Mytilus edulis: one gene and its partner. The protein of the gene in region 2 interacts with the protein of the main gene of each other region in a pairwise test. Links are inferred from orthologs where the notes say so. Each region holds a gene or a part of one and is shown on either strand. Other genes may lie near its edges.

The links. The genes of interacting proteins can lie anywhere in the genome.
Region 1: the proteins of PAN2-PAN3 deadenylation complex catalytic subunit PAN2-like (region 2) and PAN2-PAN3 deadenylation complex subunit pan3-like interact in binary tests that used the Drosophila melanogaster proteins (3 or more experiments, as listed by UniProt). The link is inferred for Mytilus edulis from reciprocal best matches to the Drosophila melanogaster genes PAN2 and PAN3.

The regions. Positions count from the first base shown.
Region 1 is NC_092351.1:26,582,329-26,593,427, forward strand, and holds the start of PAN2-PAN3 deadenylation complex subunit pan3-like, read left to right. Parts: upstream 1-5,632; 5' UTR 5,633-5,737; exon of another isoform or gene 5,738-5,745; intron 5,746-7,472; 5' UTR 7,473-7,486; coding exon 7,487-7,564; intron 7,565-8,214; coding exon 8,215-8,529; intron 8,530-8,988; coding exon 8,989-9,241; intron 9,242-9,660; coding exon 9,661-9,806; intron 9,807-10,329; coding exon 10,330-10,395; intron 10,396-11,099. UniProt on the Drosophila melanogaster protein: Regulatory subunit of the poly(A)-nuclease (PAN) deadenylation complex, one of two cytoplasmic mRNA deadenylases involved in general and miRNA-mediated mRNA turnover.
Region 2 is NC_092345.1:39,384,926-39,395,265, forward strand, and holds the start of PAN2-PAN3 deadenylation complex catalytic subunit PAN2-like, read left to right. Parts: upstream 1-5,880; 5' UTR 5,881-5,978; exon of another isoform or gene 5,979-6,358; intron 6,359-10,340. Other genes in the region: E3 ubiquitin-protein ligase E3D-like, read right to left, coding at 2,336-2,415. UniProt on the Drosophila melanogaster protein: Catalytic subunit of the poly(A)-nuclease (PAN) deadenylation complex, one of two cytoplasmic mRNA deadenylases involved in general and miRNA-mediated mRNA turnover.

The DNA of each region.
Region 1 (11,099 bases), on a different chromosome or scaffold from region 2:
AGGTGTAACATGTTTCAAATATATAAATTGAGTGATTCGTTTTACAGTTGGAAAATTTTATAGATGCTGGGGCCAGCTGAAGGATGCCTCCGGGTGCGGGAATTTCTCGCTACATTGAAGACCTGTTGGTGACCCTCTGCTGTTGTTTTTTATTTGGTCGGGTTGTTGTCTCTTTGACACATTCCCCATTTCCATTCTCAATTTTATATAACTTTTTTTGGTAAAGGAGTTGATGAAAGGATAAGGAATTGCTTATGTTGCAAAGATTCCAATAATAGCAGTTTTTTCATCAGCTCCTTTTCAAACCACCAAATCCAATTGTTGGACCCAAAAAATTTACTTTGAATGATTTTGGGTAATATTTTGCTTGAATGCAGGTCCTTATGTATTTCTCATCACATTGGCATTCATTTTTTTTTTAACTTTGAGCGATCCTGATCTGTTGTCAAAGATCCTGTAGTTGGTTTGTTGGTCAGGTGAACTATATTTGTTGTCAAAAGTCATGTATTGGTTCTGTTGGTCAGGTGAGCTATATTTGTTGTCAAAGGTCTTGTAGTTGTTTTGTTAGTCAGGTGAACTTTATCTTTTGTCAAATGTCTTGTTGTGGTTCTTTTGATCAGGTGAGCTATATTTGTTGTCAAAGGTCTTGTAATGATTCTCTTGGTCAGGTGAGATATTTTTGATGTCAAAGGTCCATTAGTGGTTCTGTTGTTAAGGTGAGCTATGTTTGTTTTTTGAAGGTCCTGTAGTGGTTCTGTTGGCCAGGTGAGCTATATCTGTTGTCAAAGGTCTTGTAGTGGTTCTGTTGTTCGGTTTAGCTACATCTGTATAGTCAAAGGTCTTGTAATGGTTCTGTTAGTCAGGTGAGCTATATCTGTTGTCAAGGGTCCTGTAGTGGTTCTGTTGGTCAGGTGAGCTATGTGTTCTCAAAGGCCCTGTAGTGGCTTTGACAGTCAGGGGAGATATTTTTGTTGATGAAGGTCCTGTAGTGGTTCTGTTGGTCAGATGACCTATGTGTTGTCAAAGGCCCTGTAGTTGTTTTGTTAGTCAGGCGAACTTTATCAGTTGTCAAATGTCTTGTTTTGGTTCTCTTGTTCAGGTGAGCTATATCTGTTGTCAAAGGTCTGGTAATGGTTCTGTTCTTCAGGTGAGCTTTTTTGTTGTCGACGGTCTTGTTGTGGTTCTCTTATTTAGGTGAGCTATATCTGTTGTCAAAGTTCCTGTAGTGGCTTTGCCAGTCAGGTGAGCTATATGTGTTGTCAAAGGTTCTGTTGTAGTATGTTGGTCAGGTGAGTGCTGTTTGTTGTCAAAGGTCATGTAGTAGCTCTGCTAGTCAGATGAGCTATATGTAGTTGGCATTCAGTACGTGGTAGAAGCAATGGACAACTTTAATATTATACTAAATAACCATCGTTCATGGTACAAAACTATCAAAAACTTTCCCCTTACTAGACATATTCGCTCAAAGAATCACCCTTTAGATAATGTTACTTTCCAAATAATTGAAGTGAACATTGAGTGGGACATCACTGCGAGAAGGACACTTTTGGATCCACCAGTTCCGTACTGTAAAACCTCACCTGATGAGATTAATGAAAAAGAGGAGAAAAGATAAAGAATGATTAAAAATACTGCATCAAACTTTATCTATAATATTGGCCAATGGACATGCAAACCACACATTTCAAATAAAATAAATAATCTTGAAATTTATCAAAACTTTGATATACATGGCAGCAACGTCCATGTGCAAAAGTTTCTTGTCTGCATTCGATTTCACCTTTATATATGCACGCTCGATGAAGCTAATATGTCTAGCGGAATATTGCAAAAAAAAATATTATCGCATCGTAAACATTTTTAGCATTTTAATACTTACAGCGTTTTGAAAAATAAAAATTAGTCAAATATGTTAATATAGTGAATTAAAGGACTTAAAAAGCATTTTGTGGATGCAGAATTCAATTTTACGTATTCAATTATTGTACATATGTGTCTCTCAGAATTCATTTGGATTAGGACCGATTTTCAATTTCGTTATTCAGCGTTCCATTGTTTCATCACAATACATTTCAAGTAACTCAATTATGTGTCAACTATATATTTGTATTATAAAATCATTGTAAGGTGTAAATGGGTTTACAGGCTTCATCTGTCCTTGAAATAAAATAAAACACGTACATTAGTCACTGACATGATCAATGTGCTTTCCTGTTGTTTTTTATTTGTTTTTATATATTTTGAAAACGAAGGGATTTTAAATATTATCAAAAGTTTATGACTATCTAAAGTAAGCACAAAAATCATTAAAAGTACCCTTTTTATATGAAAACGAAAAAGAAAAAGAAATGTGGAGTGTTTGCGAGACAGCATACGACTAAAATAACATAACGGCACCTAGAGGGCAATATATACAGGGCTCAAAAATAGGCATGTATCTATCAAACTAAAGATGTCAAGATTTTTGTCGTTCCGAGAGTTCATAAAGTTGAATGAAGGGTGGTTTTGAACAATATAGGCAGAGTAGTTGATAAGGGTTCTATTCAGTGTCACAAATCAAAACCATGGTTTCAAGCTTAAGATAAAAAGTGTTTTAAGTTGATGATTATACACGTCGAAAGTGAAATAGAACTATGCTTCTCGATCTCTTCATTAAAAGTGTTGACATTTACAGAATAAATGATCACAAAGAGAAAGTTGACAAAATCGTCCTGATTGCAACCTCATTTAGGTACATAATGTATAATTAGAGTAGGGTTTTACAAACTATATATTCAAGTCAGATAATTTTTTTTTTATTACAAACATTATGTCAACAGATTTTTTTTGTCGGAGTATGATTCAGGTCCGAAAAAAAAACAATGAAAGTTGAACAGTTTTTATAAAATTTTAATGAATCATAATTTGTCCTATTTTTTACGTAATGAAAACAGCACTGATTCGTAATTCGAAAAATTTCAACAAAAAGAGCGATATATTTCATATCTATAGTCATTGTTTAATATATGATTCATAATGATTATTCTCAATAAATCTGTATTTCAAATTTTAGCACAAGAAAAGAAACAACGATCAACAAACGGACAAGATGAGGCTGACTTGGTACAGGAACATATATATTAGATATACTGTTCCCAGCTTGGTACAGTTACAAAACACGTGATGGGGTTAGAACCTCCCAAAGTTTACGGGTTTTGGAACTTACACTTTGTCCGCTTTGTCAATAAAGGTTCCGCGTTTACTATTCCCAAAATAGCTATGACATAGGTGGAAATCAAAATGCATGGTTATTGACATTCCTGCAAAATGATCGATCTATAAACAAAATAAACGCTTTTCTATCATCTAGTTTTAAAATACTAATTTAAATACGTATTAGTGCAAGTTAAAGAAGAAGAAAAAACGTATGTAAAAATAAGGAGATGTGTTATGATTGTCAATGAGACAAATACCCACAAAAGTCCAAATGAAGTGGTGTAAGCAATCATAGTCGAGCGTATACTGTCTTCAGCAATGAGAAAATCCCATACTGTATTCATGACTGACTTGTCTGCTATAAAAGGTTCGGATATAAATGACTAATCTCAGTTTATCAGACGATCTAAAGTGGAACATCCTTGTATAGGGAAAATTACTAGCAAACGGTAAACTGTACTGTGGTTTGTTCATTGGTGAAGGCCGTACGGTGACCTATAGTTTTTAATGTCTGTGTCATTTGGTCTCTTGTGGAGAGTTGTCTCATTGGCAATCATATCACATCTTCTTTTTTTTATATGTACTATAGGTTTCCTGAAAAGAAACATACGCCGGCAATACCTCCAGGAGTGCAAAATATATAGCCTATTTTTAACCGCATCACTTGCTGTATGATCCTGTCGAAGGACAGAAGCCTGTAATTCAGTGGCTGTCATTTGCATATACTAGTAGCTGTGATATCATATTTATTTTGGGATTATTATAAAAACAAGCAGAACTCTCCACCAGAGACCAAATGACTTAAATAAAAGTTAAGTACTATAGGTCATCGTACAGCCTTCAACCATGAGCAAAACCCATACTGCATAGTCAGCTACAAACGGCATCCAAACTGAAAATTCAAAACAATCAAAGGAGAAAACTAACGGCCTGGTCAGTCTAATTAAAATATAGAACTCTGTACAGAACAATGAACGAAAAACAAATATGATATACAGCAACAAACAACAACCAGGGACAGGCACATACAAAAAGTGGCGGGTCAAACATGTTTGCTGGCACCCAACCCTCCACCACTCAGTGATGACAAAACACAACAAATGAAGAAACTATTAAAGTCCTTTGAAAAGGGCTTAACTCATCAGATAAATACAAAGTAGAAAAACAAGTAACAAAGAGCGGACGTGGCAGGATACAACAAAAAAGCACTAAGTATATAGATCTGAAAGTGCAAAGCCAATAACAAACTATTAAAAAAAATCATTTATCAAAGACTAATTATCAATCAGCTCACATCCAACATCCAATGGTTTTAGTGTAAAAACGTCATAAACAGCCAGACAAAAAAACATGACCTTGTTCAAAATTTATCTATCGACAGATTGTATACGGACCCGCCACTGCTTTGCTCGAAAATTGTCAATAATATCACATTCCTCTTATTGGAATATGGTGGTGTTTTTGGAACCCATCTTTAATTTAAATGGAGGTCGCCAATGTGATTATCGTAACGTAATGATTTTCTTGCGACGGCAAATATATCGGATTTTACCCAAATTCAGTTGCTTCGAAAAAGGTGAAAAACATATTGTATGAGCAAAAAATTGATGTGTAATTAAAGTTCAGACGTTTATCTTTCTAAATATATAAATATATGTGTATTGCATCAGTGAAATATCGAGTACCAAAAGCGTACAGAAAAGAGGTGCATGCAAGCGTAAGTTGATATTTCTACTAAAGCTGGCACAGAAAAAAAAATAAAACTTGGCAGTGATTTTTCTCAAAGTCGGAAAATTTTACGTTAATTCGTAATTTAAACTTTTCAAATCTCGAAATTTAGACTTTCTTAAATCTTGGAATATCGCCTTTTTTCCGATTTCTCACTTTCTCGATTTCCCGATTAATCGATTTATCGATTCCCCGATTTCTCGCATTCTCGATTGATCGATTTCCCAATTTCTAGATTTAGCGTGAGAGTGAAAGGAAATGAACAGTCGAATTTTTTTTTTAAATATAAAGAGGAAATTTTGAGAAAAGTAAAAAAATCTAGTATAAAAAGTCAAAATTTTGAATTTGAAGTCAAAATTTCAAGATTGAAGAAAGTCAAAATATTAAGTTGAAAATTTCGAGATTTAAAAATAACAAAATTTTAAGTTGAAAATTTCGAGATTTAAAAATAACAAAATTACAATGTGGAAAAAAAAATTCCCTGCCAATTTTATTCAGTTAACTTTTACTATGTACTTTATTGCGCTTCCGTAAATTGAGTGTATTACATAGATACCAAATACAGAACTTTTAAAGAAAAAAAATCCTCTTTGTTAGAGGACGTTAGAGATAACTGTTATATAAATATCCCGATCTGAAGCCTTTTCTCGATTGGCAAGTTGTATCAAGAAATATGAAGCGTTTTGATGACAAATCAACAAAAACATTACTCAGACAAAGATGTGACCCAATTAAATGCACATGCGTACTCAACAAATTGTCAGAAAATCGAGAACCTGTTCAAATGAGGGAAAAGACATCCAAATAATTTAATGTAACTCGGTAAAAATGCATCAATCGTAAATAAGTAAATGAGATCTGGGAAAAGGGATATCTTCTCTAGTTTCTAGTGGAGAAAAAAATGCACATTGTCGCTTATTTTTGCAGACAGGCACTTGTAATTTAGGCGACGACTGTCAATTTCTCCACCATAAACCAGGTGTTGGGTTTCAAAAACAGTTCATAAACGGTTCTTTAGAAGACAAACAAGGTGCGATCTAAGGCATCCCTGACACTATTCATAAACTAGAGTAACATACCATGTTAGGAATACGCAATTAATCGAGATTTACTGTTAAAATTTCTTGGATTTAAAATTTTATATTTTAATGTCCAAATAATGTTCTAAAGCTGCCTTTGTTTATTTCATTTTATTTTATGCATAGACACAAATCATTATTGTTACCTTATGATAATACAGTACTACATTTGTAGTTACCATGTTTTAAAGTATGACATTTTCTGTGCTGGTTGAAAATTTAAACTTTTTGCATGGTCATTAAATAGGCCACTTCATGGTTATTGCAGCCATATTGTAAAGAGTTCAGAATTTTTTTTGGTACATGTGATATAACAAGGAGTATGGGAAAACTCATTCATGTTTCCAAGCGACTATTCCTTTTCAGTGATGAAAAAAATAAGAACATAATATTCTAAATAAAGACTCTAATGTTTGGGATAACAAGTATTAAGATAGAAAATTTATTTGAGAAAAAAATGTCAAAGGGAGATGTAATTTATTGATTCAGCCTTGCTGGAGTGATGATCGGGATAATTCAGATCTGGTTCAGAATTCTAAGTTGAAGACATATGATAAAAATTATGTGTTTATATGACTTGCAGAAACTTTATACCTCATTTTAATAATCAACTGCCAACTTATGATATGTTATTTGTCCTTCAATTTAGAAAAGGTTTGGCAAACAACTTATTTAATTTAGATATATACAATTGCATATAGTTCCTTTGTAAATCAGAATTTATATTACATGTATTAGATTGCCATTTGATATGAAAAAGTGATTTATCAAGTACAAGCAGTTGAGAAGGAATATATGAAAGTGTTTTATCTGTATCTTATATCTTATGTTAGTCATTGAAATTTGAATAAAATATAACCAGAGTTGATTTGTTTTTTTTGAAATTATTTTAAATATGTTTAGTTTTTAAATTGTTTCTCTAGTATGTGCCTTCTTGTAATCTTCAACATATCGAAGTTAAGAAGTATTGTGTAGATGTAGGTGGATTCCCACACTTCTTTGAACAATGTTGAAATAATTTTACTCCCTTTGTTTCATTAGACAAATAAGAGTATTGATACAATACCAGTCATGCCAGTATGGTTTTCAAGTGTCATGATTTACAAACAATTAAACTCAAAGGTGTAAATATTAATTGAAATCAACTCCATTCTAATGCAATTTTAATTGACCAGTTTATATGTCATGACAGTTGATAATTATACTGGATATAACACATCTAACTGAATACACAAAATCTTAACCTGAATAGTGTACCTATTATTTATTTTGATCAACACACTGAAACACTACATAAATTATTCTGTTAATGTAGTGTGAAAGTTGACTGATTAATGAGCATGATGAGGTATGTGGGTTTAAAAAAAAAAAGAAGACTAAAAACAAAATATTTATAAAAATGCCCCCAGATTTATTTCACTTGTACAGTTACATTGATCAGTAATCTATGATGCTTTGATTATTTTGTAGCATTACCAGACTCAATGGGCAGTAATGGAGATCAGTATTTTAATGCTACATTTAGTAGTGAACCACCTGTCCCAGACTTCCAGCCATTTAATGTAGGTATTTTGTTACATTGTGTCTGTTAAATATGGCTTTTATATGAATAAGACAACAAAAAAGCTTGTCAGTTAAAGTTTACAAATGCAAAAAACACGATAAACATCAGAAATTTATGTTCATAGATAGTTGATGGGATATTGTTAACTAGCCCAAAATGAAAAAAGACTAAAAAAGTACACTCATATATAATTGATAAGTTTTTAGTACACATGGATATTGATGTGGTTTTGAAACAATGCCAGAGTAATGATTGTATTGTTTTATCTTTTACTTATACAAAGACAGTTGTTCTAACATCCTTAGAAAGTCTGTTTCTCCTGGGGAGAATCTAATTTTTCACACACCAGTTTCATATTAATGTTAGAATGTTAAGCATCACAAAATGACTACATGAAATATGAACTTATGGGTAATGTCACTTGACAATTTCATTTCAGCAAGTTGAGGCTGGTCAAAATAGGAAAGTGGCTAAATATTCTCTCAATTCTGTTTACAAGATTCCATCTGCTTTGTTTTTTGGTAGAAAGAATTGACATATCTCCAAAAATCCTGCTTGTAAAGACACTTTTTTCAACCTCTATGTTTGAACTTCACAGTTTAGGTGTCTGGCTGAATCCTTTGAATTATTTTTTTAACCATTTTTCAGCGGCAAAGAGGAATGGCAAGAGGACAAAGAAATATGATGGGCCCAGGCCCAATGCCAGGGCCACCTGGTCCACCAGGGCCAGGACCTAGGAATTTTGGTCCACCTGGCCATGGAATGAGACCAAGGATGGACATGCCTAGAATGGATGTTCCTCCAGATCTAAGGGATGGGCCACTACCTGGTCAGATGTATAGTGAAGGTTATGGATCTAGGATTGATAGTCCAAAGTTTGATGGTCTAGGATCAAGAATAGACCAGGGATTAACAAATGATTTTGCAGCTCTCAATCTGCAAATTCCTGGTAGTGGTTTAAAGGTATATTTTATGGCAGATTTCATATATGCTGCATGCTATATTTTTGTTTTTAACAATGGAAGTTCTCAAATGATTTTAATTGGAAAGTAGTATGAACAAAATAAGTTTTTTTAATGATTAGGTTTCTAATTTGTAAATACAAAAACATTTAAATTTAGATTTCAGAAATGCATTTCATTACATTTATTCATTCAGAAAGACATAAACTATTTCTTCTTCTCTATAACAAGCAGTTTTATAATAATCATAAATAATAACACATAAGTTAGATGGCCATGACATTAATAGATATCCTAATTTTGAATAAGCTGAACTTGATACTGTCACATCATTAATACATAAATCTTGAATAACGGTGAAATTATTTCCAGTCACTATTTATTTATGAAAAAAAATGTTAAAATATGAGTTACAAATTTGTATGCATAATATTGATACAGGAAATTGTTTCTATTTTAGGGGTCAAACCCAGGTGCAGATGAATTTGTACCAAAGTCTGCAACATTAACTCATAGTGCTAGTTCTCCTAATTTCTCATCGTTCAACAATGGACCAGTGGGTATGCCACCCATGTCTAATGCTGGACCTCATATGATGGATAATGGTCACATGGGAAATTCCGTGCCTGGAGGTGATATTCCAATGCCTGTTGGAGGACCTATGATGTCCAACACACCTCCACCTGCTCATTTAATGCCATCGGGCATGTCCGGTAAACATTTTAAAAGTTTGTTTTGACCTTAAAAGAGACTGTTTAGTGATTCTTGGAATGCAATTCATGATCATTGTACTTCATTACAAGTTCAGGACGATCTTACTAATTATTTTGAAATATTTTTTTTTTCATTTAAAAAAATAATAATATAAATAAGAAGATCTGGTATGAGTGCTAATTAGACAACTTTCCATCCAAGTCGCGATGTATAAAAAGTTAACGATTACAGGTCAAAATAAGGCCTACAACATAGAGCCTTGGCTCACACCAAGTATAAGTTGATATGGCAGAACTTTAATAGTCTGCTTTATGTATTCAGTATTTTCAAATTTCATCTTTCCAAAATCTTTGATTATTCTGTAACATGATTGAAACTAATATGATTTTTCAAAGATAAATTGTTTGTATATTTTCAGGAGCTGTTTATTCTACAGCCAGTCCTAACAATAGTCCTCATCTGTCTCCAACAAACTCTCCTCTTATGATGAGAAGAACTGGTTCCCCATTAGCTCCCATTAAACCAGGAACACCAAAGAAAAACCAACCAGCCAGCACCATTCAGGTAATGTATACACTTCATTCAGAAATTTTTCATACACTTATTATTGCGATTTTTTAACAATGGTAAAAAAAAATTGTTTAGTTTTGCACTTTCAGTTAATGTTGCATTGAATATTTTTTATCAAAATTTAGTTTTTATAGTTGTGTAATCCTCATGATCCCACTGCCAATTTTCGCAATAGTTAAAACGTCACTAAAATTTCTAATGTTACTGAATATAATTAGTGAATTCAAGCTTGTTAAAATTGAACCTGTCCTCTACAAAAAAAGTTCTCTAAAGAGAACATTGTTTACACATAAATATTATTCAATAGTAATTGAAACATGTTTAAACTTAAACAGAAGACCTGTCTAATCTGAATAAAATATTCTGTCACACATGGATTCTATTTAAACAGTTGTCACTTTAATTTCAACCTCTGTTTATCTCCAGGTCATTTCCTGATTCTTACTCTTGCTGCATGCAATAAAGATAGTGTAATTCAGGATCAGTTGAATGAATATAATTTTTCTTTTTTTAACAGGAAAGTGTTGGTGGAACAACCTATTTCTACAATCCTGAAGATTATACTGTACAAAGGGAGGGCATTGTAAGTAATACAAATTAAAAAAAGATTTTTTTTTAAAACATTTGGGTAAGATCAATGTCAGCAATACTGAATAAGCTGTCGACCTGTTGTCATGGTTGTAGGACAGATATTTTATTTGTATAAAACCATCACTTGGCGTCCGTCGTCGTCGTAGTCCGTCTGTCGTAAACTATTTCAAAGATCTTCTCCTCTGAAACTACAGAACCAATTCAAACCAAACTTCATCTGATTGATTCCTAGGGTATCTAGAATAAAGTTTGTGTTTTAATTCCCATTTCATCAAAAAACATGGCCGCCATGGCTAAAAATAGAACATAGGGGTAAAATGCAGTTTTTAGCTTATAACTCAAAAACCAAAGCATTTAGAGCAAATCTGACATGGGGGTAAAATTGTTTATCAGGTCAAGATCTATCTGCCCTGAAATTTTCAGATGAATCGGACAACCCGTTGTTAGGTTGCTGCCCCTGAATTGGTAATTTTAAGGAAATTTTGCTGTTTTTGGTTATTATCATGAATATTGTTATAGATAGAGATAAACTGTTACAGCTAAAATGTTCAGCAAAGTAAGATTTACAAATAAGTCAACATGACCGAAATGGTCAGTTGACCCCTTTAGAAGTTATGGCCCTTTATAGTCATTTTTTAACCATTTTCCATAAATCTTAGTTATCTTTTACAAAAATCTTCTCCTCTGAAACTACTG
Region 2 (10,340 bases):
CAGACTTAAAGCCCTGATTTTTTGGGATCAATGTTTCTCATTTATTTGTCTTTTGTTCATTGATTACCCTTCTGTATTCTGTTAGTGTTGCATTCCTTTTGTAATCTAGTAATTTTGTTATGAACTTGATCATGAGTTTAAAAAAAAACAGCAGCCACAGGCTTAACTATGTGAATTCCATTTTTGCTTTATTATGCACATTGGTCTTTTGATGTTGTCCCTAGAAACTTCAGTCTTACACTGAATTTATACATTTTGCTTTGAGCATGTTGAGACCAAAATATTGTCAAAAAATTATTAAAACAAAAAATAATAAATTACTAGATTTGCAATTGTAATTCTCATTTCGATATCATGCATATATATTTTCTAATATGTCACATTTTGTAAAAATAATTTGAAGGATAAAAAAAAAAAAATTATTCCACCTCTCACTATTATTACTTCATTAATGTAAATATTTTTTAAAATAATCATATCTTAATTATTTCCTTGCCTTCAAAATCATCTCAAGTTTAAAGTATAATCATAATGCATGTTTTTATTCCATGTAGTGTTTCTGACAGTAGTTTGATCATTCCCTTTGTCAGAAATGAGACTAGAACTATAACATTATAGTTGTTTAAATTTAAAGTAGGTCATAGCTTAGCCTTTCATTTTCAGATTATGAAAGGGTCTTCGGAACACCCAGAAAGCATGATTTTTCATCATTTGTTCTATAGCTTCTTGGGCCTTCAGTGGCTCCAAAACCCTTCAAAAAAAAAATTGTCATTCTCGGTTGATTTCAGGATTACGGAAATAAACGAAGAAATCGAAAGTTGTGATAAATTCTTAGGAAACAGCAATCGGCAAACTTCGGCAGATTCTGTTACCTAACTGTGCCGATTGAGTGATTGATGGATTAATGCGAGTCATCATTAATTCTATAGAAAAACACGTTGACGATGGAAATTTGTACCAAATTTATTGAATAAATGCCCCATTTTTATTGATTTATTTTTTCGGTAGAAATTGCACTATATGAAATATATATCGCAAGTTGTGATTATATAATAACTATACTGTTTACTCCATTGAGTGGCACACATTTCCTGCATATTTAAGACAATTGTAAATGATCGTTCTGATAAAATCAAAAGATCAAAGAGATTTTAAATAAATGTAGGGTAAGATCATTGGTTGGTATATACGAATGTTCAGCTGAACCCCGATGTGTTGAATTTTTTTTTAGTACTGCGACTCAAGTATTTGTATAGTAACATTGTACAAATTCTTGTGCAACTGTTCAATAATATTTACGGTAATTACCAGTATCATTTGGACGGTTTCATTTGGTCGGATAGTGATAACATATTTTAGGGGACAGAAATGTATTATATAAATATCTATACAACGTAGTTAGATCTCTGTTTTCTTCTGCTGTATTTTGTTGATTGGTACTTGCTCGATTAATTTTCGTATTGTAAACTGGAAATTTCTACTTTCCAGGATTATCCAGTAACTTAACCATATATATATTACTCTAAACTTCACAGTTTTAATATTAATCAAATATATTTATTGTTAACCGGCGGTAACCGGAACACACCTTAATCACGATTCAAACTTCACCCACAAACTAATAAAATAATGTCACTCACTATTTCAAATCGTTGTAGAATAATTAATTCTGGGCCGATTTTCATTTTTTATCCATCAATCGATTTGTTTAAATAAGTTGTTCTCAAATAAAGGTCTACCGACGCAATTGAAATAAGTAAAGGTGTTTTCCGACAGGTAATATTGTAAAGCTGTCTCGATTAAAACCATGTGATTGATAAGAAGTATCTCTGGTCAATTTATGACTGCGGCATGACTACAAAAGAAATTAACGACAGCGTACTAATTAGACAGTTTCCATATCTTTTCTACAGGGCTACCCCTGTACACGGGTTATAAATAAATGCTAATTAATCATTGTAGTTCCTGTCAATATAATACTTCCATGATCTATTTAAATGGTACATAATGACTTGACTATACTATATGTATTATTTATAAAAAACAAATCATTTAAAAAATTGTATGTTTTCGAATATCAAAAATATAGTTGTGAAAATGAATAATCAGTCCCTTGCTTTAATGAAAATGAAAAATCTTGCTTCAATAGTGCAGAACTTCAATAGTGCAGAAAATGAATAGTCTGTCCTCTTAGTTTACAAAAATAAATAACCGATCATAAACAAATCCTGCTGCACCCCCCCCCCCCCCCCCCCCCCCCCCCCCTGATTGTGCAAATACCTAAGATCTTTGCGCAATTGGTTTCTTTGTTGAATTAATGATATTTGATATATACCTGTTGTCAAAAACTGTTATATTCAAAGATGACAAAGTTTCTTTGATCTCGGAATATAGCAACGTTCTTGTTGCTTCCATTTCAAATCAGGAAAATGAAAGTAGAAAACGTGTTGTGTACGGGTCTCACTAATTAGCGACAACAAGCGTCAACAAGCGACAACAAGCGTCAAGAAGCGACAAGAAGCGACAACAAAAATTATTTTAGCGACAAGCGACAAGAAAACTATTTAGCGACAAGAAAACATTTTTTTTTTTATTAGATATAAAGAAATTTGTATGTAATGTTTTTTTTTTAAATATACGAGCAGATATGTCTAATTAAAATGTTTTATTATATAGATAAGATAAGATAACTTTATTAGCACTAACACATTGACAATAAATGGTTATGGCAACAAATTAAAGACTAACTACAATAACATATATACAATGAAGGAGTGACAGTGGATAATTATGAGAGAAATATATAAAAAATAAATGAGAAGCATATACATTATTACAAAAAACAAGTACCTTTTAATAATGAGTTTCTCACCATGCAACAAGCATTAATTCAAATAGTTGACAACAATTTTTAATATTGTTTGGGAATTACTATTTAGAATTGATATAAGCAGAGACATATAGCTTAGAGCCTTATGGTTACCTACAGTGGTTAATGTCTGTATCATTTGGTTTCTTGTGGAGAGTTCAATATTATATTGCATATACTGTACAGAAAAGAAATGTAATACACTCGCACATCAATATATTAAAAATATGCCATGAGATATTTTCCACTGGACGTTAGGCAACCATCATTTAATTCAGCCTGATCGTGCAGTTTGTATAAAGTAAAACAAAAAGGTTTTAACTTACAAATCAAGTCAAATAGTTGTAAACTATTTACACATGTGCATTTTCGTTTCAAAACTAAAAGGAGATTTTAACTAGTCCAAAAGTTAAAAAGAAAGAAAGAAGGGAAACATGTACATTTCGAAACATTTAGATATCAATGTGGCATTAAAACTGGTATGCTTTGAAGTCAACTTGCCATGTTAACAGAATTATAGCATAGTAGAATGTTTATTCTTACAAAAATTGTTACATGAAAAGGCAGCAATACCTGCTGCTGTGAGTTTTTATCGTATATTTAGCAGTTCCTTACACTTAAACTATGGTTTAATCTCTTTACATTCGAGTTGAAAAGTGAGACTTATATTGCCATTTCCTATTAAATGATCATTAAATGTAAATCCTAAATACACAATCCGTGAAAAGGAGAAACCATAAATTAACCGACAATCATAAAAAAAAAAAACTCAATACAAGCTCATAATGTAAATTTCGAAAAACACACTTAGAAAACAATTTACCGACAATCCCCAAAAAAACAACTCAATACATGCCCAATTAATAATGAACACAAAAAGTAATAATTTTTTAATGATCTATAAGAGTTATGAATATAAGACAAAGTTGATCATGATTAACGGTAAATAAAGAAACAAATTAAGTTTTTTTTTCTACTCATTGATTAATTTTATATTTTGTATTTTTGGAAAGATTGTGGACACCTGTGGTGTAACAACTTCTTGTGTACCAGGTGTCAATTAAAACTCTTTTAAACAGGTTGTGATTTACCTGACCATCGAATAATTCAAGCGTAATATACATGTCACACTGTGAAAGTATGTCTCTGACACAGGTGTATATTAAATAGAAACCCATTATGAAACTATCAAATAAAATGAACTCTGATACAATTTATTAAGTGTTAACTATTTAATATCGTTTTTTTTTTTAATTCAATATCAAGTTATGTCTATTTTTCAATAATACAAATAATACAAATCAAAATTAAAATGACATTGAAATAAATATTTATGCATGAACTCAAATTATTTAATTAATTATGTTAAATTTAACACTGAAACAGATAATTTATGCTTAAACATTCACCCTTACTTCGAGTACTTTTAATACTTTGATAAAGACTCTATTACCCAAAGAGATCTCGCGAGGTTTAAATGTGGCCGTGTGATATTACGGGATTTCGCCGAGTTGCCAATCTCTTGTATTATATGTCTCTGATATAAGCAAGTTATATGATATTAAAGGAAGAAAATTTGTTGTTCAATAGAACATTATTTAATTTTTTAATAAGGTTATCTCTCACATATTTATAGGAGGAACATTTTAAAAGAAAGTGAAGTTCATCTTCAATGTCTCCATTGTTACAGATAGACGAAGAAATGAAACATTTGTGAGAAAGAAAGAGATTGTGAAGTTTATATTAGTATATTGGTAGATGAAGAAATTTAACATTTGTGAAAAAGAAAGAGATTGAGCTTCTTTTTTTTAATTTTTAAATATGAAGAATATGTATAAGATAATGTATGAATCTGTTTTCATCAAAGTCAAAGTATGAATAATCGAATGGAGATATATATGGAGCGGGCATAATGGAATATAATATTTTGATTCATTTGCTTAATACTATGCTCTAAGTGTACTCTTGTTATGTCAATTCGATGCTTTATTTGTAAAACTCTCAGCCACGCTTTGCCATCTTTATTATTTAAGCGTGTTTCCAGAGCCCACGACGAGGACGTGGTTCTACCTTGGGGTCCATATACAGATCACGTACTTTTGCGGAAAAAAACCCCCAAAAAAAAGGTCAACTTTCCTTTGAAGGATTTATTGAAACAAAAACATGAAATATTATTTCCTTTCTAACAGTATAATTCATCGTTCTTGATAGGAACAACATTAGTTGTGGCTTCACCTTAAGGTAATAACAGTACACACAATGTGGAACATCAAATGAGATTAACGAGTCGCGTGTCCCCTGTTTTATTGCTACAATAACATCCAATTATCACCTTCAACTTTGTACACACGTCAGACTATACAATTACACGCGCCAGACTATACAATCATTGTAAATAGGGAACACCTGTTGAAAACTCAAGATTGTCATTAATTTCCTTTCATCTTCAATCAATATGCATAAACATGATAAATATCGTTTAATGAGGCAATAAACAAATAAAAAGATGAAAACATTCACATTTCAATTTTCTTTTCCTCCTGTTTGGTTTCAGTTCTTTGTATTTCACAATTTGTGTCAATATTTTCAGGACAATGATGCACAAGTAATTCATTTTGCGAGCTTAATACATATTGCACGAAAAGAGTTTTAAAATACAAATTATAAGATAAATAATATGTTCTAAAACACAAGGAAAAGTAATCTCATAATACAATAATTAAACGTAATACTGGCTGTTATTCATAATAGATGATAAAATATTATGTAAATAATGTTTCATTTTTTTCTATCAATTTTAACTTTCTTGTCGCTAAAATTATTTTCTTTTGCATATTCTTTTAATATTTATTGCAATAATTAATTTTAATTAAAAAAAATGTTTTCTTGTCGCTAAATAACAGCTAAATAGTTTCTTGTCGCTGTTTGTCGCTAAAATAATTCGCTTCTTGTCGCTTGTTGACGCTTGTTGTCGCTAAAATTCTTGTTGTCGCTAATTAGTGAGACCGTAAGCGTACTGTTATCTCCCCTCTTAAAACTCTTCAGAATAAATTAAGACTGGTTCCTTGTTTTTAAATTTTTCTCACACAGAAGTTTGACCGCTCGAAATGTGAGTGACAAATATTTGAACAGATTAATGTCTTAATAAATTAATGATAACATTTACAACAAAATACCAATTATTTATACTTTCACTATACTTAATGCATGGGAGATAATATATTAAGTATACTTTTACCTGCATTTTGGCTTTAGCGCGCATGTGACTAACCAGACAATAAACTATTGGAAACCAGTAGATCTGACTTTTTACGTATCAACTATCAGGTATTTATTCGTATGTCACAGTTGTATGAAAGTATAAGAATGGAAAGTTTAATTGATGCACTTTGAAACCAGTCTCTTTTTCTCCGCTGAATTAACTTAGACCGTAACATTCAAATCGCACTGTCGTCCAGATTTTTGGTACTGATTTTTTTTGAAGAAAAGGTTACAAGACACGTGTTTTTGTTGACTCACGTTTATTATTTCTGCAAAACCTAAATAAATTCTGTAACTAAGAACATCGAGAGTGGTAGGCTTTATTATAGACAATAGACAATATTTTATTCGCACAAACACATTTACATTAAATGGTTATGGCATACAAAATTAAGACAATAAACTGACTCTTATATGTAATGCATTATGCACATCAACATTTATAAAAACCCTGACTCAATATTTGTGGAATTTACTGTTTCAGAAATTATTATCTAAAGACGTAAAACCAAAGGAGTATAAATATAAATAGGCAGTGGCTATTTGACCGGCACCGGCAAAATAGCAAATTTGCTATTTAGCCGGCTCTGATTAAATTATATCTAACTGGAATTAAAATTTAAGAATAATAATTAAATATCAAAATTTTCTATTTAAAAACTTTTGTTAATGTTGCTCATATAAACACTTAAAACACTTAAACTTCTTATCTAAAAATAAATTAAAAAGTAAAATACAAATATGATAATAGTCACTTTGTAGCTATACTACATTCCGGAAACTAGTACATGTATACTCTTTTCATTTACGGAACCAGCATTGTGATTGTGTTGACGATGCAATCGCAAAATGGTCTTTCAGTACCATGAGAAGACTTGAGAAATACAATTATAATCAAGCGATTATCGGGCTTGGTCTTTAAACAAAAACCGTGAAAAAATAAAAATTTCATCAGACACATTTTTTTCAGTATAAGAAGGAAATGATTTTTAGAATTATATTTGAAAATGAAAAGGTGAAAAAAAGTCTAAAACAAAGAGAAAGTAATTGTATTTATTTATGTATTTTCTCATTTTGAAAAATAACATGTTAGTTGCACAGACGCTGCTCCTTATTATCCAATCTAGCTCAACCCAATACACATTAGAAGTTTGTTTTTCTCTAATTACTTTTTTTCTTCAAATTATTATATGATTTTTATGAGGTCATGTTAAGTTCCAGGAAATTGCGAGAACGCAGAATTTTTCACTATTAATACCAGAGCTTCCAGGGACCTTGAGGGGCCCCAAGACCCCTCGCCATATGACTTACCCCCGGCTTTAAGTACACATCATTTTGGCCTAGCTACACCCCTAGCTGTTTAGAGCATATATAAAAAGGAGAAAAAGAACCCTATCTACATATGTAACATATGCACACAAGATGTAGATTCAAAGGAAGCCAGTGTAATGTGTAGTTCCTGTTTTGAGTGGCAACATGTACATTTATCTTGTGCTAGACTAAACAACTTCCAAAGGCAAAGAATTGGTTTTGTAACAATTGCAAATGTTAAATCATGTGTCCATTTGAAATTCATAGCAAACAACTATTAATATTGTCTGTCATATCTGTTTTACAGTCTGCACGGTTAGCCACTAGTCTGATGCCCCAGACTGGTAAAATTTCTTTCAGACTAGTAAGTTTTTTCAAAACTTTGTTTGGACTAATAAGAAAAATGTCAGAATATTATTCTTCGCACTAGTAGTTGAAAAAGTTTTTGGTGCAGACTGGTTTTATGATGTAGTTTTGCATAACACTATTTTTATCACTGGCAGAATATTTAAACCATAGATTTTAAACAGATTTAAATTTGAAAATCAACATTTTGTTATAAATATTTAAAAAAAAATATATTTAATAATGTATTTACAAATGTGTTTTCATGCTTTTAATTAATATAATAAAGTTATAAATTATTTATTTATGAAAATCTTTTATTTTTTATTGTACTGTATTTTCTTTTAGTTTTCGCACTCTAACTTTAGTAAAAGTGAATAGAAATCGATGAAATTTTGACACAAGGTTTATGACCACAAAAGGAAGGTTGGGATTGATTTTGGGAGTTTTGGTCCCAACATTTTAGGAATTAGGGGCCAAAAAGGGCCCAAATACGCATTTTCTTGGTTTTCGCACTATAACTTTAGTTTATGTAAATAGAAATCTATGAAATTTTGACACAAGGTTTATGACCACAAAAGAAAGGTTGGGATTGATTTTGGGAGTTTTGGTTCCTACAGTTTAGGAGTTGGGGGCCAAAAAAGGGCCCAAATAAGCATTATTCTTGGTTTTCGTTCAATAACTTTAGTATAAGTTAATAGAAATCAATGAAATTAACACAAGGTTTATGAACACAAAAGGAAGGTTGGGATTGATTTTGGGAGTTTTGGTCCCAACAGTTTAGGAATTAGGGGCCAAAAAGGGGCCCAAATAAGCATTATTTTTGGTTTTTGCACCATAACTTTAGTATACGTAAATAGAAATCTATGAAATTTAAACACAAGATTTATGACCATAAAAGGAAGGTTGGGATTGATTTTGGGAGGTTTGGTCCCAACAGTTAAGGAATAAGGGGCCCAAAGGGTCCAAAATTGAACTTTGTTTGATTTCATCAAAAATTGAATAATTGGGGTTCTTTGATATGCCGAATCTAACTGTGTATGTAGATTCTTAATTTTTGATCCCGTTTTCAAATTTTTCTACATGTACATTAACATGATTAAGGTCCAAATGGTCCAAAATTAAACTAAGTTTGATTTTAACAAAAATTGAATCCTTGGGGTTCTTTGATATGCTGAATGTAAAAATATACTAAGATTTTTGATTATTGGCCCAGTTTTCAAGTTGGTCCAAATTGGGGTCCAAAATTAAACTTTGTTTGATTTCATCAAAAATTGAATAATTGAGGTTCTTTGATATGCCAAATCTAACTTTGTATGTAGAGTCTTAATTTTTGGTCCCGTTTTCAAATTGGTCTACATTAAAGTCCAAAGGGTCCAAAATTAAACTAAGTTTGATTTTAACAAAAATTGAATTCTTGGGCTTTTTTGATATGCTGAATCTAAACATATACTTAGATTTTTGATTATGGGCCCAGTTTTCAAGTTGGTTCAAATCAGGATCCAAAATTATTATATTAAGTATTCAGCAATAGCAAGAAATCTTCAATTGCACAGTATTGTGCAATAGCAAGCAATTTTCAATTGCACAGTATTGCGCAATAGCAAGAAATCTTCAATTGCACAGTATTGTGCAATAGCAAATATTTTCAATTGCACAGTATTACGCAATAGCAAGAAATATCTAATTGCACAATATTGTGCAATAGCAAGAAATTTTCAATTGGAGTTATCTTTCTTTGTTCAGAATAGTAGTTGGATCAACTTAAATCATTGTTTTATGCAATATACAATGTATATTCACTTTTACTACCAACTGATAAATTAAAACAATCTTTACCATTCAGTGATAACAAGCACTTTATTTTACATTTTAATATTTTATGATGTAAATGTATTTAAAAGAGTAGTTATTGTTGCAAACTCCATTAGAAATTTGAATTGATATCAGTTTTGGAAAAAGGGAAACAGGGATGTGAGAAAAAAAAATGGGGGGGGGGTTAAATTTTTCTCATTTCAGATTTTATAAATAAAAAGAAAATTTCTTCAAACATTTTTTGAGAGGATTAATATTCAACAGCATAGTGAATTGCTCAAAGGCAAAAAATTTTTTTTTAAGTTCATTAGACCACATTCATTCTGTGTCAGAAACCTATGCTGTGTCAACTATTTAATTTTAGATTTAAATAAGTTTGAAGAAGAAATCTTTAATTGATTTGTAAAATCTTGACATTTGTTTTGTGTAAAAAAAAAACCATGTTATGTCAAAAATTTGATCACAATCCAAATTCAGAGCTGTATCACACTTGAATGTTTTGTCCATATTTGCCCCAACTGTTCAGGGTTCGACCTCTGCGGTCGTATAAAGCTGCGCCCTGCAGAGCACCTGGTCTTAAGTTTATTTGCATGATTTTATAGTTATTATATCGGTAAGAAAAAATGAACATGTAGCTAGAAGACCAGGATTTATTTACTTGTGTAACTGGGAAGGATTTTTAATGATTGTTGACTTCTCCAATTTAAAATTATGCTCAAAGAAGGACCTTTTATGTTGG